Linked DNA regions of Arabidopsis thaliana. The protein of the gene in region 1 interacts with the protein of each later gene in a pairwise test. Each region holds a gene or a part of one and is shown in the gene's direction. Other genes may lie near its edges. The genes, in order: AT2G40010, AT1G01100 and AT5G47700.

Region 1 (4,804 bases):
TCCACAATGAAGATTCTCCACACCTAATCAATTATTTTGACCGCAGTAAAAGAATGTTTCATTTCTTATGTTGAGATTGGTATGGATATGAGTAAAAAAGCTTTTATTACCTCGAACAGAACTTTGTGCATAATCTGATGATGCTTCTCCCAAATGAATAGCTGCTGGTGATGGGTCATTGACTGCTTCGCTATTGATTGATAACTCATCAGCTTGGTCTCTTCCATACTCAATATGCATGTCCTGCTCCTGCTCCTGTATTACAAAAGATGGATCATGCTGCAAGTTACATACCATTTGGGTAAACCAAGTTCAAGAATTCTGTCAATGGTTTCTAATAATGCCAGCAAAACGAATCCCAACAATGGAAGCAACAGATTTGTGAACCTGCACAGAAAGAGAACGAGAAGGAAGAAAAACAAATCACCTTCTCTTCTTCGTGTATTTCCACAGCCAATTGATTGGGTTGTTCTTCCTCAGCCATCTCTTCATTGTGATTCTCAGGCAATTGGTTGGCTTGTACTTCAGCCAATTGTTTCTCTTTTTCCTCTTGCTTTTCAAGGCAGATAGCAAGGAGGGGACCATAGCTATCATCTTCAATCAAAAACCATTGGTCTTCGTAGACCTGAAATCCAAAGTGGGTAAAACGTTATTTTCAAGTTGCAAGGAAAATGTTATCAACAACGGAAAAATGGAGACCCTAAAACTAGCGAACAAACCTCTAACAGTTCCTTAATACTCTCACTGATAACATGCTCATGAAACCCAAATCCTCTCATGCGATCTCGTGCTGCATCCTCTCGCATCAATCCAGCCTTCTGCAAAAAAGCAAAAGAAAAGTAGCAATTTAAAAGCATAGAAAAGAGAGATAATCATAGAAGGAAAAAAACAAGAACACCCATCATAAAAAGAAGTATTTGTAAACTTATCTCATCAGTGTTCTCAACGTTGAGTACACAGAAGTCGTAGAGAGAAACAAAATGTTAACTTCAACAATCATGTCATTCAAATACTTCATCTATATAGTCATTCTACTCTAATGTCTATGTCTATGCTTTTATCTTAGTTTTCCACTATACTCTCTAAAAACTATATGATTCAAAAGCTCATATCTTTACTTGTTAGCCAGCATTTTAATTTGGAAAAACAAAACAAAAAAAACAGTACAGCTTATACCTTTCTTCTTCCTCTGGGAGCCATTTGTTGATCCCTCACAATTCCCTGTAGTTTCAGAAGAAATTGGAGGACCAAAAGTATAAGTCTTTGGGTTATAATCAAACAAACAAACAAAGGCAACCAAACAAGTGATCCCTTTTTTCAAACCTATGTAACAACAAAATCAACGAAAGATGAAACAAAACAAAAGTTGAGCTCTTTCCCAAAAATCCCGAATCAGTAACACTAGAGATAAACCAAAAATACCCTAAAATTCAAACCCAAATGAAACCTAAACAGAATCACAACAAAACACAAAAACACGAACTTAATTTTGCTACAGAGATGACAATGTGCTGAGCTGTTTCGTTCAGATTCGATAGGGAAAGAGAGTACTTACGGCGGAGAAGATAAAATCGGCGGCGACTGTGGAAGGTTTCTTAAGAATAAGCCGTGGATCGCCTCCTCGTCTCCCAAAAATGCTTCTTTGAATGAAATCGAATTAAAAAAATAATATAGTATTTGTTTGGGTCAACCATTTTCTCTGTTAAGTCAACCATTTTCTTATTGGTTACTATAAAAAATAATAAAGTATGAATTACAATGAATGGATCTCAGTTGGGCTTGAGATGTGGGTCGAAAGAGCTTTTAGCCCAATAGGAAAAAGATTCATAATGTTAAACATGTTGGGCAATATTGGCCCATCCCATTGATACTACTACAAATAATATAAGCCGTTAGATTTAGGTCATCCCACAAACCCTGACCGTTCATCCTTCCGTCTTCCGATAACTATATAAACCCAAGAAACTTCTTCTTCAACCTTAAGCAAATTCTTACGCAGCTTTTTTTCTTTCTCTCTTCCTTCCTCTGTTAAAAACAGTTACAGAGGTTAAAGAGACAGCGCCAATTCGCGCTGTCCACCTTGTACGAGCTCCAAGCTTCGTCTAGGCCCTCCATTTTCTCTACCCCAAAATTTAGTTTCTTTAGTCTCACTTTATCATTTTTAAGTGGAAATGGCGGTGAAAGCAACAAAGGCGGAGAAGAAGATCGTTTACGATTCAAAGCTTTGTCAGCTTTTGAATGAGTACTCTCAGATTCTTGTCGTTGCAGCTGACAATGTTGGATCAACTCAGCTTCAGAACATAAGGAAAGGTTTACGAGGTGATTCAGTTGTTTTGATGGGGAAGAACACAATGATGAAGAGATCTGTGAGGATTCATGCTGATAAAACTGGCAATCAAGCTTTCCTCAGTCTCCTTCCTCTTCTTCAGGTTTCATTTCTCTTGTCTTGAATAGTTTGTTTTCATTTGGATATAAAGTATTGATTTTTTGGTTTTGTGGAGAATTTGATTTGGTTTGGTGTTAGAATCTATTTAACAGGGGAATGTTGGGTTGATCTTCACTAAGGGTGACTTGAAGGAAGTCAGTGAAGAGGTTGCTAAGTACAAGGTTTGTTTCTTTGGCTCAATTGATGTTATTGTTGTTGTTAAGCTTTAGTAGAGTTCAAATATGGATTGATAGCTTGGAAAGTGAAAGTTTGTATTTTTGAGTTTGAAATGAAATCATATGTGTTCTTGCTTAAAATGCAGCCACATTCTAATTGAGATTATTATGATTCGTTGAGCTTTGAGGAGATTACATTTTCATTGATTGGTTTATTACTTAGTTTGGTTAGTTTTATGCTGTATCTGATTATCTCTAAGTAAGCAAGAATGCAAGGTGTTGTATTATTCGATTTTAAACACAAATGCAAACTTTCACTTTCCAAGCAAATAGGGTTGATTAGATTATAGTACTAGTTATTTTGGTTCATTGAGGTTTGAGGAGACGACATTTGTAGTTTCTGTTTTGTGTTTTGATTGATTGGTTTATTTTTAGCTTCTACTGTTACTTGATGATTTAGTCAGTTTATGATCATCCTTTAACCTATGGCTTTAGGTTATTAACTTGTAAGGTGGATAGGTGATAAAGTTTGCATTTTGGTTTAAATTGGAACTCAAAACCTCTATTTTCTGTCTTGAAACGCAACCACATTCAAGAAACTTACTTGAGAGTCTACTAGTTTCCTAGGCTCACATTTTTGTAGCGTCCTTTCATGTTGTTGGATTGATTGATTTTTTCAACTTAGTCTTGTACTGTTAATTGATGAGAAATTCATTGTCCTTTTTTTGACAGGTTGGAGCTCCTGCTCGTGTAGGTTTAGTCGCTCCAATTGATGTGGTCGTGCAACCAGGCAACACTGGTCTTGACCCTTCACAGACCTCCTTCTTCCAGGTGCTTAACATTCCAACCAAAATCAACAAAGGTACGGTTGAGATCATAACCCCTGTGGAGCTCATCAAGAAAGGCGACAAAGTCGGTTCATCCGAGGCTGCGCTTCTTGCCAAGCTTGGAATCAGGCCCTTTTCGTATGGTCTCGTTGTTGAGTCAGTCTACGATAATGGGTCAGTGTTTAACCCTGAAGTGCTTAACCTCACTGAAGACGACCTTGTTGAGAAGTTTGCAGCTGGTGTCTCGATGATCACTGCGCTTTCTCTTGCAATCTCTTACCCAACCGTAGCAGCTGCGCCTCACATGTTCCTCAATGCTTACAAGAACGTTCTTGCTGTTGCCTTAGCTACTGAGTACTCTTTCCCTCAGGCTGAGAATGTGAAGGAGTTCCTAAAGGTTTGTCCTCTTTCATTTTGCGTTTCAGATATTGGGATTAGTAGTCATGAAATTGTTTGTTAACTGTACATTTATGGATCAGGATCCAACCAAGTTTGCAGTTGCAGTGGCTGCACCGGTTTCAGGAGAGTCTGGTGGAGCAGTGGTGGCAGTAGCTGTTGAGGAAGAAGCTGCAGAAGAGTCTGATGGGGACATGGGATTTGATCTGTTCGGTTAAAATACACCGTCTTATCTTTTGCCAGCCTTTCCTATTTATTTTATGGACCTTTAAAACTTTCACGTTCAGAATTTCTTTGTTACGTTTATGGATATTTTGTTTCTTCATCAAAACTACCTTTCTGGTTTTAATTTCTCTCCGTTGAGGAATTTTCTGAACCCAATTATATTGGTTAACAATGTCATTGTCTGATTCTGTCAGTAACTACGCAAATGAGTATATTTCATCTTCTTCAGTAAAGGTTTCAATAGCTCAAACAGACAATACTCCAGCAACTATGACAGGAACATATCCAACATATAACAAGTTTGGTTAGTTTCAGCTATATAACCAAAAGCACAGTCTACTTTACATAATATTTCAGATTTTACTTCATAGAATATATGTTTCATTCCTTCACTTATCTTCTTTCTTTCGTCGCGCATAGCAACTATGTTGGTTGGTGTGTAGATCTATCTTTAAAAGGTTGCAGCCTTGCTTAGTCCAAATGATGGTTTGATTTTGAAGTGCCAAACCTCACCTATAACAAACTTTCTGAATTATATTATTTTATTATCTATTTATATCATATTATATACTATCTGAATTATACTACAAACTTTCCTTAGATACATATCACAAAATATCATCAAATTATTAAAAACTCTTTTAGAAAATTGCATAGCCTATCCTCATAATAAAATCAGATTATAATTTAAATCAAGTGTTACGTTAATTTATAAACTGTTTAAAGAAGAAATAAAGGGGTTAAGCATGCCTTGT
Region 2 (3,678 bases), on another chromosome or scaffold:
TTGTAGCTTCACTAACCCTTTTAATGCTCTTAATGCTCTTCTTGCCTTACCAAATTAGAAAGAACAAAACTTATATCAAGACCCAAAAAAAAATTATCTAAATGAAATCCCAATCTTTTAAATGGTAGATCTTGTATAAGCAATGTTAATTTTATAGACATAGACACACATCATTGTCACTAAAAAGTGGTCTAGAAGTCAAGTTGGTTAAAAAAATGAAAGTAAAAATATAGGTCATTAATAATTGCTCACCAAATATCCTCTGAAAGAAGTCTGGATGACAACAGCAGCGTAATTTTCTCTTGCGTAATAAATCCGCCTCGGTGCGAGTGTCTTAGATGCTGACGTGGCGATGGGGACTACGGCGGACGGGGGTTTACCGGCGTTGGATGGCGGCGTCGTAGTTGCGTAACTCGGTGCTGTCTCCGGAGAGGGTTTTGAGTTTACGTTAAGTGAATCTTCCTGAGGTGCTGGTGGAGAGATACCGGAAGACTTCACCGGAGATTCTTGAGTCGCCGGTTTTCTAAACCACCGTCTCTTCTCTCTCTTCTTTTTTTAAAAAAACAGAGAAAAATGAAAACCAATAATCATACTTTGAATATAGTAAGCAAATAATAAGATCTAAGAATAAGAAACCTTTTCTTCATCTTCTTCGACGTCATTACTATGATCTTTCTTCGTCGGAGATCGGAAAGCTCGCTTTACAGCGGTGAGCCAAGAAGAAGAGCCGTTCTTTTTCCCCATGTGTAATGTGTTTAATTACTTTTGGTCTCAACAAATTATTACCACTCTATTGTCTTTATGTATCGGTGTTCCGTGAAGTTGAGATTTAGGTATTTAGCTGTAGATTTTTTTTTCAGAAATAAGGAGTGAGAGAGAAACAGAAAGTACAGATAACCTTTGGTTGCTTTGTAAGAAGTTGCTCTGAGTCTGACCACCTCTTTTACTGCAACCACGACACCAATAACTGTGTTTCTTTCTCTTTAATAAATTTTATCTTTTCACCAAATACATAGTATTATTAATTTATTTTGTTGGCATCGATATTAACATGAATATATTCGTTTTTGGGTCCATATTGATTATATACCGTGCGGGACAATATACGTAGACTAGATAAGGAGAGAGATTGCACGTTGTTTTAGCTCCATAATCTACATTTTTATTTATTTTTTTTCTGTTATTCTACTAAATGCCAATATTTGGCTTAGCGCATGCGTAATTTTTACTACTATTATATAAAGTTGGTTGGAATGGTAGTAGGATGAACAAGTATTTATCGAGATTCTAAACAAATTGTATAAATCATTTTTTTTATTAATTGACAAATATAATCAAACTTGGTGTCTACAACTACATGATTTTGTGAAGTTTGGGGTTAAAGAACTAATCAAACTCGTGATTTTTGGACCAAGACGAATGTACAAGAAAAAATGAAAATATATTGGATCGCATATGATATGTTTATTGAAGACTATAAATATGTCAAATGAAGAATTATGTTACTAGTGCGAAAAGGACATCCATCAAGTATTGCTTGACCAAGCTCGTGCTGTCACATGCATGATGGACCACGGTGGTCGTTCCCTAGAAACCAACCAACAATTTCTGGTCAAAGTCAAATCTCTTAATTTGGGCTCTTATCTTTTATTTATTCACGGCTATTAGGTTTGAAGGCCCAATACTGAAAACAAATATATGTAAAATTAAAAAATGGGCCTAGCGAATATTTATGCGGCCCATCAAATAATTGGATAAAAGCTTTATAAACTCTGCATCTCCCGTCTCCGCATCCAAACCCTAGAAATTTTGTCTCTCTCGCCGCCTTGCGAAAAGCATTTTCGATCTTACTCTTAGGTAGTCTATGATTCTCCATTTGATCCGTTTATACTTGTTATTGGCATTTCATCATCGTCTGGGTTGTTCGACTTACTCTAATTTTGGTTTAAAACGGATTTAAAGTTTGTTTTTTTGTGAATAAGCAATTAATCTATTGTTACTGTTTTTGAATCGTTTCAGGATAAAAAAATGTCGACAGTTGGAGAGCTTGCTTGCAGCTACGCTGTTATGATCCTCGAGGACGAGGGTATCGCTATCACGGTATCTTTCCTTTGACTCCTGCTTGTCTATTTCTAAATCTTGATTGGTCTCTTTGCTTTAGTCAGTAGGGTTTTGGAACCGTTTCTTTTGACTTGATAGTTAGAAACTTAGTGAAAATGATTCTTATGGAGTGATAAGGATTTGGTATAGTATTATTTGGTCAGGAATTGAACAAGTATTTTATGTATCTGTCTAAATGTGTTTTGAATTGGGTAAAGATCTTTACTTGTGTTTGTTTATGTCGTTGATAGGCTGACAAAATCGCGACCTTGGTGAAAGCTGCTGGTGTTAGTATTGAGTCATACTGGCCAATGCTATTCGCCAAGATGGCTGAGAAACGTAACGTGACTGATCTCATCATGAACGTTGGTGCTGGTGGTGGAGGTGGTGCTCCGGTTGCAGCTGCTGCTCCAGCTGCTGGCGGTGGTGCGGCAGCTGCTCCTGCTGCTGAGGAGAAGAAGAAGGTAAATGAAATAGCAACGATAGACGAAATCATTCTTCTAACTAATAAGTGATATAAAATTGATCTCATTTTGGTATTGCAGGATGAGCCAGCAGAAGAGAGTGACGGAGATTTGGGTTTCGGTTTGTTTGACTAAACGCAGTCACTTGTCTTTCTTCTTTGTAGTTGGATATTGGAGACTATATTTTGTCGTATGAGTTATTATTACTTGTTTGATCTGGCTAAAGGACTATTAGTTGGTTTATGATGCGTATGTTGTATAACTCAAGTTTCCTAGCAAACCAATCGGCTCGGGCTTTTGTTAGAATTGATTTTGTTTATTTTCTACCAAGTCTTCGTTCATCAAATATAGGTCTTTAATTTCGAAAACGTCAAACCATAAATGTTAAATCCGGTCATACAATATTTAGAATTGTCATCAAATATAGGTCTTTAATAAAATTGGCTTTTGCAGTAATGTTAGGCCGGCCCAATGCCTTTATTATCGGAACATGTTAGTGTTTGTTCTTCTTCTTACCCAGCAGCGTCTTCATAACATTTGTACGTCTATTGTCATACATTCCATTTGATGAAATTGAGATAAGGATAAATACGATAAAAAAGTAATGGGATTTTTCGTAAGAGAAATAGGAAAACCAAAAAATGTTGTTTAGAGGATTAAATATGTTTCATAATAATTTAGTAGTAACGGTAGGAATTAGGTTTTAAATTCAATTTTCTTTCTTTTAGAGTCAAAAGTAGTTGCATCTATAGCTCTACCTGATAACAAAAGATTTATGGGATTATATACAAATCTTAAAGAAAACGGATCTATTCTTAAAACTCAATTGAAAAGCCATATTTCTAAATGGTTAGAATTTTATGGTTATTCACCTGAATTTGTTCAGATCATTTTGTTAATTTGATGATTCCACTATTGATTAACCAATTCGAGTTAAAGAAGAAAATAAATTATGTTGAGCATACTTAACAAGGATTATATTTGTAGATCGGATCTTGAAATTAAGAGATGAAATGAAAAGAAAGAAAAAAACATTGGTGTTAACGAAGAAGGGTGGGTCCAAAATTGATTAAATATTTTTCGAACAAACAAATAAAAATATATATAAGTATTT
Region 3 (3,649 bases), on another chromosome or scaffold:
GGTTTTCAAAACAGTAAAACATCACATCAACAGACAAATAAACACAACGAGATACTTGTTTCCTTGGTAGAAACACAAACACTGGTTCTAGTTGCCAAGAACAATGAAAAACACTGACCAAACATACCTCATTTCCTAATTTGACAATCACATAAGGATCACTTGACTTGAAATCTCGGATCACCAGTTTCTTTCCTTGAATAACAGTCACCTGGAGCAGTCCTAGTGGCTCGCCCATCTCAGATTCTACAAACACATGCTACCAACTTTAGAAACTTCTTGAGACAATCCTCGTGAATAACAGAGCTAAAGCAACTGTCTTTATTAGACAATCAGTTGAATATGACAACCAAGACACAGAGAAAGAGAAGGAAGTACTAGTCATTCAACATTCAACATTCAATCTCTAGGAAGCTAGGATATATCTAAACAACTACGCCAAGCCCAAAATTTTCTGAGAGCTTCTTGATATAGAAAACGAAATTCTGGGAAAGATTCACACTTATATCAGTAAATAATAAAACCACACAGAGAGACCAAATGCTGCCAATCTACAGAAACATCTATCTAGCGAGTAAGGTAGAGAAAGAAACAAAAATCGCAAGCAGACCTTGATCAAGAGACAAACCAAGAAACACAGAGGACTCTGCAAATCAAAAAAGGCTCAAACTTTGTGGGTTGAACCCAGAAGCTACTCGAGTCTACAACAAGACCAATAGAAAACCTTGAAACCCTAAAGAATGAGTAAAGTAGCGAAGAACGGTACGAACTGAAAAGGAAGTTTCAGTGTTTCACTGAGAAATTTGCAAACTTTAGAAGAAAAAAACTAATAAATAAGAAACAGAAAATTACTGAACAACTTTACCAGTTTGGAAACAAGAATAAAAAATCGTCTTCTTGTGGTTGTGATGAATTGAGCAAAACAGAAAGACTTGTATTCGTCTTCTTTGAGATTAACGCAGCAGCTACTTACTTACACCTTTGTAGAGGAGGCGAGGACTATCATTCTCATCAGAATTTTTTGTTTTTAGTTGAAAAACATTTTTATACAAATGTTGTCTTAAAGACAAATTCCATGGTCTCGACTCGACTCTCGAGGTTGCTATAAAGAATTTTATTTGACCAAACAAAGTCTTAACATGCGTTTTGACCGTAATAGTAATTTAGTGGTATCTAACTAATGAAAACAGTAAAATTATCCAAATCATATTCTACAAGTTATCGAATACTCCTTTGATTCTTGAACAACGTAGCAGTAACGGTAATGAATTAATTACTACAAAAGTTAGGTAAACCTAATCCTGGTTATAATAAATTAGTGAATCAAATACTTTTGTGTGACCCTTTACCACACGAAAAAGAAAAAAAAAAACTTTAAAAATTGTTTATATGCTTGAAATCAGAGGTGGCCTCTGACACGCTTTGACTCGGTCTAACCATTAAAGCTCCAATATAGGACCATGCGAATTTGTGTAATAAACATCTCACACTTTTTATGCAGCATAATGTTAAACGGTAAAAATGTTATTTTAATCCCTTAACTTTCAAAATGTGTTCATTTTATTTAAAACATAAACATTAACATTTGAAATACAAGAATTCGTTGACCACACCAAATAGACATGCCCAATACATACTCAAAGCCCAATAAATCTGAAAATGTCCAGAAGATCTTTAAATGGGCCTAATGAATATATATATTTTGAAAGCCCTAATGAAGCTTTGATACAAAGCTTTCTTTATAAACGCTGCGTCACATCACTGAATCAAAAACCCTAGCGATACTTCATCTCTCGAGCCGGAGCCGCGTTGCGAAAGCATTTCAATCGTAGTCTAAGGTACTCTATCGATGATTCTTCATTTCTTTCTTTCGAATTTTACAAGCAGATATATTCCTTCCGATTATTCTCCCATTAAATTTTCAGTGTTGTTTTGATCTGTGAATAATGTTGGTTTGTTATGTTACTTTGATGGTTTCAGAGAATGTCGACAGTGGGAGAGCTCGCTTGCAGCTACGCTGTTATGATCCTCGAGGATGAGGGTATTGCTATCACGGTATGCTTCCTTTTCTACTTTACTATTTTCTTAATTTTGATTGGTCTCGTTGTATCATTGCTCATGGAGTTTAAGGATTTTGAGCTGTTTCTGGTGACTTGATAGTTAGAAACTAAGTGAATAGTTATAATCTTTCGTTGATAAGGATTAGTAGAGTTATAGAGTCAGTAATTGAACAAGTGTATTTTTGTTTCTGTCTATATATGTTTGAATTGGGTTATAACTTATTAATTTAAAGATCTTTGCTTCTGTTTGTTGAATTTGTGTTGATAGGCTGACAAAATCGCCACTTTGGTGAAAGCTGCTGGTGTTACCATTGAGTCATACTGGCCAATGCTATTCGCCAAGATGGCTGAGAAACGTAATGTCACTGATCTCATCATGAACGTTGGTGCTGGTGGTGGAGGTGGTGCGCCTGTTGCAGCTGCTGCTCCTGCTGCTGGCGGTGGTGCTGCCGCTGCTGCTCCTGCTGCCGAGGAGAAGAAGAAGGTAAATTATATAACAATGAATTCGTAGCTTTTCCCTAACGAAGCATGATCTGGTATATTTATCTAATTGTTTTGTAAATTTACTGTTGCAGGACGAACCAGCAGAAGAGAGTGATGGAGATTTGGGTTTTGGCTTGTTCGATTAAGTGCATTTTACTTGTTTTTTCTTCTTCGATTTGAGACTATTTTTTTTTCGTATCGAGCTATTACTTGTTTTGGTCTGGCTGAAGAACTATAATTAGTTGTTTTCTGAACCATATGTTGTATGACACAAGTTTTCAAGCAAACCCATCGGCTCCTTCTTTCCTTAGAAATGATTTTGTCACCTCTTTTTTTTTTAATTCATTCGAGATATTAGTCTAGGCTCGTCGAATCAGAAGATAAAATGATAAATCTTCCCAACGGAAAGGAGTTTTACGAGCTTAGTTAGACAAAATCACTATGGTTGAGCCCTTCCTATTTCCTTTTCTATTATATCCCTGAAGAACCATGTGTGTGTAAAAGGTGAGTGGTTTGAACCTGCTCCGTTTGGCCAGGCGTGTGGGTTGACGAACAACATTTTGTATTGTTTTAATTCAGTTTCATCCTTTTTAAGTCGCAAGAATAAGTAGTTGACATCATTTTACTCTCGGGTCATTTCCTTAATCAATAGCCCCTATATGATGATAAGAGAGTGATACTACCAGACAAGCAGCTAAATTTGGACTTGAAAGGAAATACATTCTTTTCCTTTTGCCAGATCGGATCATTCTGAACCTTTCTACCCAAAAACCGAAAAGCTTTCATGATTTGACAAGCGATAAAATAAACAAAAGAAGTTTACAAAAAAAATTTGGCAAAGCAGTTAAGTTCAACAAGAGAATAGTACTTTGGGTAAAGGAATATAAGTTGTAAATATTACAGAAAAAGAAAAAACGTAAAACAAACCTACAAATAAACACACACAGAGGCTACAATACATGACCACAAAAGCTTCTGGAGGAGCTTCTTTCTGCCTATTATTCTTTCCAACATGGTGGTTAGAACAAGTATGTATCACTAACCCTACAAGTCTCACATTTTTACCACATATACACCACAGCAATCCAGAGACCACCAATTTTTGA

The links.
Region 2: the proteins of AT2G40010 (region 1) and AT1G01100 interact in a two-hybrid assay, tested with the Arabidopsis thaliana proteins (one large-scale study listed by BioGRID).
Region 3: the proteins of AT2G40010 (region 1) and AT5G47700 interact in a two-hybrid assay, tested with the Arabidopsis thaliana proteins (one large-scale study listed by BioGRID).

What each region holds. Positions count from the first base shown.
Region 1 is NC_003071.7:16,707,816-16,712,619, reverse strand, and holds AT2G40010 (Ribosomal protein L10 family protein), read left to right. Parts: upstream 1-1,847; 5' UTR 1,848-2,171; coding exon 2,172-2,429; intron 2,430-2,538; coding exon 2,539-2,607; intron 2,608-3,056; exon of another isoform or gene 3,057-3,333; coding exon 3,334-3,825; exon of another isoform or gene 3,826-3,907; coding exon 3,908-4,042; 3' UTR 4,043-4,241; downstream 4,242-4,804. Other genes in the region: AT2G40020 (Nucleolar histone methyltransferase-related protein), read right to left, coding at 1-23, 111-255, 428-625, 720-857. UniProt on the Arabidopsis thaliana protein: Ribosomal protein P0 is the functional equivalent of E.coli protein L10.
Region 2 is NC_003070.9:49,305-52,982, reverse strand, and holds AT1G01100 (60S acidic ribosomal protein family), read left to right. Parts: upstream 1-1,772; 5' UTR 1,773-1,857; exon of another isoform or gene 1,858-1,860; intron 1,861-1,874; exon of another isoform or gene 1,875-1,919; intron 1,920-2,019; 5' UTR 2,020-2,028; coding exon 2,029-2,100; intron 2,101-2,351; coding exon 2,352-2,564; intron 2,565-2,645; coding exon 2,646-2,699; 3' UTR 2,700-3,074; downstream 3,075-3,678. Other genes in the region: IQD18 (IQ-domain 18), read right to left, coding at 1-45, 253-549, 637-744. UniProt on the Arabidopsis thaliana protein: Plays an important role in the elongation step of protein synthesis.
Region 3 is NC_003076.8:19,327,059-19,330,707, reverse strand, and holds AT5G47700 (60S acidic ribosomal protein family), read left to right. Parts: upstream 1-1,721; 5' UTR 1,722-1,838; intron 1,839-1,980; 5' UTR 1,981-1,983; coding exon 1,984-2,055; intron 2,056-2,328; coding exon 2,329-2,544; intron 2,545-2,635; coding exon 2,636-2,689; 3' UTR 2,690-3,142; downstream 3,143-3,649. Other genes in the region: AT5G47710 (Calcium-dependent lipid-binding (CaLB domain) family protein), read right to left, coding at 128-238.